Arabidopsis thaliana: one gene and its partner. The protein of the gene in region 1 interacts with the protein of each later gene in a pairwise test. Each region holds a gene or a part of one and is shown in the gene's direction. Other genes may lie near its edges.

Evidence for each region. Proteins that work in one complex are often made in the same cells at the same time.
Region 2: the proteins of AT2G20270 (region 1) and AT1G55805 interact in a two-hybrid assay, tested with the Arabidopsis thaliana proteins (one study listed by BioGRID).

Annotation. Positions count from the first base shown.
Region 1 is NC_003071.7:8,737,225-8,741,414, reverse strand, and holds AT2G20270 (Thioredoxin superfamily protein), read left to right. Parts: upstream 1-1,754; 5' UTR 1,755-1,797; coding exon 1,798-2,084; intron 2,085-2,194; coding exon 2,195-2,268; intron 2,269-2,831; coding exon 2,832-2,987; intron 2,988-3,146; coding exon 3,147-3,173; intron 3,174-3,337; coding exon 3,338-3,414; 3' UTR 3,415-3,629; downstream 3,630-4,190. Other genes in the region: AT2G20280 (Zinc finger C-x8-C-x5-C-x3-H type family protein), read left to right, coding at 438-629, 718-848, 945-1,047, 1,161-1,361; PSAE-2 (photosystem I subunit E-2), read right to left, coding at 3,771-3,875, 3,953-4,018. UniProt on the Arabidopsis thaliana protein: May only reduce GSH-thiol disulfides, but not protein disulfides.
Region 2 is NC_003070.9:20,858,100-20,861,224, reverse strand, and holds AT1G55805 (BolA-like family protein), read left to right. Parts: upstream 1-1,741; 5' UTR 1,742-1,786; coding exon 1,787-2,269; 3' UTR 2,270-2,615; downstream 2,616-3,125. Other genes in the region: AT1G55803 (ferredoxin-fold anticodon-binding domain protein), read left to right, coding at 2,990-3,125. UniProt on the Arabidopsis thaliana protein: May act either alone or in interaction with glutaredoxin as a redox-regulated transcriptional regulator, or as a factor regulating Fe-S cluster biogenesis. The glutaredoxin-BOLA1 heterodimers bind a labile, oxygen sensitive iron-sulfur cluster.

The DNA of each region.
Region 1 (4,190 bases):
CTGAACTGGTTTGTGTTCAAATATACAGCCTTTTAACGTGTATTATGTGAAGTGATGCATTAGTTTTGGTTGCACTTGCTGTGATTAACCTTTAGCTGATGTGCATTCGCCTTACGATGCGCTTCCTTTAGCTAATAGCACGGTTCATATTAAGAGCCATTAGGGTCTTAGATGTTATTATGCCTCCCGTTGTTCCCTTGTGTTTTTCTGCGCACTTGGTTCATGCCTGACAAGAACTCATGCTTTTGGTGATGTTAGTGCTAATCATAATTTTGAAATAAATGTTTCTTAACTATATACGTCTATGCTAAAAGAAATAATATCTCTGCGTCTCATCTCAATAATCATCTCATAAACTTATCCTAAACACATGAGTTATTTGTCTCGCTGAGTTTTATTGACTTGTAATTGTTTTTGTGTTTACTGAAAAATAATAGGTTTGCAAGTATTTTCTGGATGCTGTGGAAAAGAAACAGTATGGGTGGTTCTGGTCATGCCCCAATGGTGGCAAAGAGTGTCATTACAGACACGCGCTTCCTCCTGGATATGTCCTTAAATCTCAAATGAAAGCCCTCTTGGAAGAGGAGTCATCGAAGAAGCTGGCAGTTGAGGACGAAATCGAAAACGAGGTTTAAAATACTCCTCAAGTTTCCCTCATAGCTGCTAGGACCCGGTACTTGATTTGTGAGACCCATGTTTTCTTGTTCTATGTTTCAGCGTGCAAAACTGCAAACCGCAACACAAATGACTCCTGCACTATTTATGGAATGGAAGAGGAAGAAAATTGCTGAGAGAGATGCCGGTTTGGCTGCTTCTCAAGCGGAGAGAGCTAAGAACGACCGTATGAGGTAATCCCCATTCATCATTCTGTTACATATCCATCTCCAGTGTGACTCTATTTTTGTCCTTGGAAGCTGATTCATTGTGTGGATTTGTAACCTCAGTGGTCGGGAGCTGTTTCTGTCCAATGCAAGCTTGTTTGTGGATGATGCTGAGGCTTGTGAAGAATACGAGAGGGAAAGAGAGCAGGAAGAGACTGAACAAAAGGTGAGCTCTCTCTCTCTCTCTCTCTCTCTCTCTCTCTCTCTCTCTCTCTCACTCACTCATCATTTAAAACAACCAAGTCATGTTAATGGAATCTTGAGTTTTTTGCTTTTCAGGCAAAGAACAAAGAAGCAGAGGCAGGGACAAGCAAGAGTAGTGGTGATGCTGAACAGAGTTCGAAAGAAGTCAATGAAGAAGAAGAAGATGACGATGATGATGATGATGACCTAGACATGGATGAGCTGGATGAATTGGAAGCAAGCTTGTCGAAAACATCGATCCAGATTCGTGAGCCAAACGACGAAGGGTCATCTTGAAATGAAAAATGGTCTAAGAGGAAGAGGTGGAGGAGAGAAAGCACATGTTTTGTTTTTGTGTACTTTCAATAGATTGGATTTTGCAGACACAAACCCCATTTTGGGGTGTTGAATAATTTCTGTTACTGTTTTACAGTCTTAAATGGCCTCATCAAAGAACTAGTAGTATCTTTTTTGTCCAATCATTTTCATCTTTCTTTGTTGTTGTTAATTTTATCATGATGTGTAAATAAAAGGTCGTAAACTTACTAGAGAAAATAAAAACTACAGAAATGTATTAAAAACAAAGAATTTTAATCAATTCTTATGAATATTTAGTTGTTTTATTGATATTTATAAATAAAGAACAAAAAATATCGGCGATATAAAAAGAGGTAAATTAATCTGAGGGCAAAAATAAGAAAAGCATCCAATTTCGTCGGAAGAAGAAATCGCCATGGTAGCCGCAACAGTAAACCTCGCGAACATGACATGGACGTCGTTAAATTCAAATCCAGCAATCTCTTTCTCCATGTTAAGCGGAATCAGAAACTTGGGCATGTTACCTTTCAGGAGATGTCTAAAGCCGACAGTTATCGGAATCGCGTCGTGGCCACCACTCCGTTGTTCTTCTGTTAAGGCTATGTCTTCATCATCGTCTTCGTCTGGATCGACATTGGAGGAGACTGTTAAAACGACTGTGGCAGAGAACCCTGTCGTTGTTTACTCCAAAACCTGGTGCTCGTAGGTTCACTATACTTTTTGGTTCAATTAGAGGAATGGGTTTTGTTAATTTATGATCTAGTTTGTCAATATTGATACTTTTACTGGGTTTGTTCTTTTTGGTGGTGAAGATACTCGTCTCAAGTGAAGTCCTTGTTCAAGAGTCTTCAAGTTGAGCCACTGGTTGTTGAATTGGATCAACTTGGTATGCTCAATTCTTTACTTTGGTTTGCTATATGGGTCTGAGTAGTTTGCTATATTGGTTTTGATAATGTGTGTGATATTGTTTATATCGATCAAGGAAGAGCTGGTTACAAGTGCCCTAATGTTTCAGCATTTTGACTGGATGAAATTAATACTTGTTTCCAACTTCTTCTTGTTTATCTTCTGGTTCATTTGGCTGCTTGCTTGAATTGGTTTGTATGTTTTTTGATTAGATTTTGATGGAGGATTGATGATGGTTAGGGGGGTTTCTAATGGCCTAAGATAGCTTTACATTTCAGAGATTCTGTGTCTTGTTTATGTGAAAAATTTACTTCCACTGTAGTTTTCCTTGGACCAATGACTTGTTGATGAAGAATCAACGGGTAGGCTAGTACTTCTAATGGCTTAAATTTTTCAAATTGAAGATTCTTTCCTGCCTTTGAATCTTAGACAGTATGCTTCTATTTGTTAGAAACTATTATGTTGCTATCTTCTTAGTTATCTTTTCTCGTGTCAAGATTTGGTGACTTTCCAAAACCATTTGTTCTTTCTTGTCTTGTTTAGTTTCTTTGGGTAAAACATCTCTGCCTCATGATATTGGTCTGAAACATTTACAAAAGTTTTGGTGGTTTTTGGCGTTTCCAGGTTCAGAAGGGTCGCAGCTGCAGAATGTGTTGGAGAAAATTACTGGACAATACACTGTTCCCAATGTTTTCATCGGTTAGTTGTTTCATCATTTAAGCCAGTTACTAACTATACTCTGATCATTTTTCTTGATTATTTTGCCTGAAAACAAAACTATCGATAAAATCTTAGCCACTACATTTGCTATGACCATCACTTATCTAATTTTGATATCATGTTTTTGTTCATGACCAGGAGGCAAGCACATTGGTGGCTGCTCAGGTACAATCTCTCTTCCTTTCTTACCTCAACACCGAGATTTTTCTAATATGTAATTGAGATCGTCTTTGTGTATTTTGGCACCAAGATAGATAGTACTCAAGATCTTGCTCAATGTCTTGTGATTTTTCTGGTAACTTGACCTGCATATCATTATTGTTGAACAGATACATTGCAGCTGCACAATAAAGGAGAGCTGGAAGCAATTTTAGCTGAAGCCAATGGAAAAAACGGTCAGACCTAGAGATTTCTAGAGATGAAACTGGTTGGTGATTCTTCATGTTTCCTTATTGAAGTCGAGATGATTTGCTGTTTGAATTTACTGTCTATATAGAGATTTTCAATAAGAATCTTGTGTTTCTTTCTACGTACAAAAAACAGTCAATGAGTCATGCTGGGTTCTGTTACTAAACCGGAGTTGCTGAGTTTGATCCACACTACTTGGAATTTGCAATCATTTTTGGGTGGCTAAATGCATATTTGGAAATCGATCTTGAGATTGTAAAAGATAAAAGATGAATTGTTGGTTAACTTTTTGGTACATACGGTTTTGTTTAAGATTACAAACAGACGAACCGGTTTAGAGATAAACCATGTCTCTCATTTTACTTCTTCCACCTCGTCCAATGCGTAGTTGTTGGTCGATATATTCGCGTAATTCACCTTGGCGAACCGGACCACAACCGGATATCGGGTCTTCGGGTCCTGACAATTTAGACCGGAATATAAGATGAAACGATATCTAACCGTTAGATCGTTAACTTCAAAAGTAAATGCATTACCTGATCAACGGCCACAACTGATCCAACGTTCTTGTACCAGTATGATTCTTTCCTTAGAATCTTGACCTGTAAGTCCTCAAAATTGTTTATAAATTTCACAGTAGCCCTATAACTCTTAATATGTATACTAAATAGACCCAGAACTTATTGATGATACCCAGTTTAGCTCAAATATTAGTCCAATCTTCTCTACTAGCATCTAATTAAGCTTGAATTTTCTTCTACCACAAGGGTTAGT
Region 2 (3,125 bases), on another chromosome or scaffold:
AAGGAAAGCAAAGCTACCTTTGTTGTCACCATCCAGGAACAAAAAGGAACACTTTCCAGTCAAAAAACAATTCCTCAAAAGAATCAAACTTTTTAGTGATATTAGTTAGATGCCACAAGTGCCAATGCCGTGATACCCATTTTCTCAAATCCAGTATAACACACAAAACAATCAACCAATCATGATAGGCCACCAGATAATAGTAACGCCAATCCTAAACATGAAACCGTAACTTTTTCCCGGGTAAAAAAGGGAAAGAACAAAAAGAAAACAGAGATCAGAAGAGAAGAAAGCTAGATTTTTTTAGATCAATACATGCAAAAGAATTATAAGAAACGTTTCATCATCATATAAACCAATATAAACCGAATCAACATGAAGATAAAAACTCACGAAAAAAGAAAGAGGGATTGAATAAGCTTCGAGATCACCGATTAGATATAGCTAACAAAAGAGCTTCCAAGTTCCAGATAAAGAATCTAAACATATAAAGAGAGAGAGACACGAGCATTGCCTGTTAAACTCGATGCACAGACAAAAACTGGACTTATTAAAAATAAAATATATTGATAACGTATATAAGTGTATGTATATGCGTTGAAAGAGAGAAAAGAATGAAGGGAGGATGCAGCGGCGGTGACGGGTTTTTGCGGAAACCGGAAAGTGGTTTTTTTGGTTTTACGAAAGTACCCTTCCCACTGAGGGACGTGGTAGTGGCAATTCTCGTAAATGTGAGAGTGTTTGAGTCCCTAAAGTAGAGAGTGTGATCAAGGATCCACGTCAGATCCGAATAGGATGTAGGACCTACTATCGAAAGCTGCAGCTAAAAACGCAGTGATATAGATGCGTGTGGTCGAATGCAATCTTACGTTACTGCAAAATTATTTATTTTATACTATTTTGGATTACGTCTACAATAATTTGTTTATTCTGTTTTTATCCATAACATTTTAACTTCATATGTTTCCTCCAAATCTATTTACCTGAATTTTGTTTTTCGAAATATATAATTTACCAATTAATATTAGTTTTCTCAACATCTACACTACCAAAGGATGCTACAATGTAAAATATTATACACAGGAACAAAATTAGCATATTTACAATTTAATCTGCACGATTGTTTGTCTATAAAATTTGAAGGATATAATCAATTTCTTCTTTTAGTTCCGTAGATTTTTTTATGATTCATTAATGAAGTTTAGACCAGAGATTAGGATCCTTAAAAAATTTGGATGAGCAGCTTAGAACCACTTTAAAAATTAATTTTGTACATCCAAAATTATCGAAACAAACTATTACCCAAATCAAAGATATTGCCTTTACTTCAAAAACTGATTACAGTTTTGGGTATGTTTTAGCACTATACCATCTTATTCTTATCATACCATGATCTTCTTGGAGAATTCATCTAATACTATTTTGGTCATAAATCAACATTTCAAAAAATATCCACGTTACAATTGTAAATTGTTATTACTTAATTATGTCTTAAGTTTTTTAACCACACCAAAAAAATATTAAATCATATACACAAACATTTTTCGAATGTATTTGTTATTTGATTTCTCACACAAATGTGAAGAAGTATGAGGGTGTTTCGATACACTTTTAGAGTTTGTTTGTTTTTTTGTAATTTTTTTCTCACAAATGTGGGGTGATGTTATTATATTTGAAAATTTGTGGACCTTAATGCAAATAACGCCTCTAATAGTAGATTCGTGAAGATGATAAGCTGACAAAACGACAGCGTCTAATATAGTTTCGAGTTTCTTCGACAGTGGCAATGTTTTCATCTTCGATTAGGTTAATCGTATCTGGGTTCCACCGGACTCAACCCCTAAAATCGCCGGTAAATTCTCCGAGCGTCTTCATCTCCGTACCTAAATTCTTCAACTCTGAGTCAAAATCGACGGGAACTGGTTCAAGATCCGTAGCAATGAGCAGCGTTGAGAAAACCGGGTCGGATTCTGGAGCAATAGAGAATCGAGCGAGCAGGATGAGAGAGAAGCTTCAAAAAGAGCTCGAACCAGTGGAGTTAGTGATCGAAGATGTTTCGTATCAGCACGCTGGTCACGCCGGAATGAAAGGTAGAACCGACGATGAGACGCATTTCAATGTGAAGATCGTTTCTAAAGGATTCGAGGGAATGAATTTGGTGAAGAGACACAGGTTGGTCTATCATTTGCTCCGGGAAGAGTTGGATACTGGATTGCACGCTCTTTCTATCGTCTCCAAGACGCCGTCTGAGTCTCCTTCTAAAGACTAGTGTACTGGTACTGTTTAATGTATCTTCTGTTTCTGTTATCAGAGTTTCTCATCAAACTCTGTTCGATTCAAAGATTGAATTTTTACCATCAAAGTGCTCTGTTTTGGAATTTATTGCGGAGCCAAAGTCTTCATTTTTACATACGCTTGAGGTTGTGTGTTGGTGTTTCTGGAATTGTGTGTTGGAACAAAGACACTTGCTTTTAGTTCAATTCGAGTTCTGTCTTTTCTAGCATTCAAAACTATAATGGTCATAGCTTGATGAATTGAATTAAGGCTCCATTTAGTTGAAAGTCCAATCAATGGTCATGTGTTTGAATTCTCAAAGGAAGCTCGATTGTGCCGTGTTTGTTAGCTTGGAGCCAAAAGGGTTGTTTTTCCATGTTTCTGTCTCTTTCTTCTTCAGATTATTCTCCCATTGTCATCAATGGCGTTTGCGTCTTCTAATCGCTAACGCTAGAAACAAAACGCCTTTTCCAATAGTCCATGTCACCTTCCTTTAGCAACAAATATATGTACTTTATGGGCTTAAACCAAATCTAATCAGTGATCACCTTTTTCTTTTGTGGGTAAAGTGAATCGTCATTTCCATTGTCTGGAGAAGCTAAACCGTCCCTCTTCTATACATCAACAGAGCAAGTTACGTTAGTATATGTCCGAAGATAAATAAAACGAAAAAAAAACAACTTTCCAAACTATCATCATTTTCACTACATTGGCGATGAGGGAGCTCTCGGAGCTTAACAGAGACAGAGACGGTGATGAAGAAGTGTGGGTCAAACACTATTCATCCAAGCACCAGATACTTCTCGTAGGCGAAGGAGATTTCTCCTTCTCTTGCAGCTTAGCCACTTGCT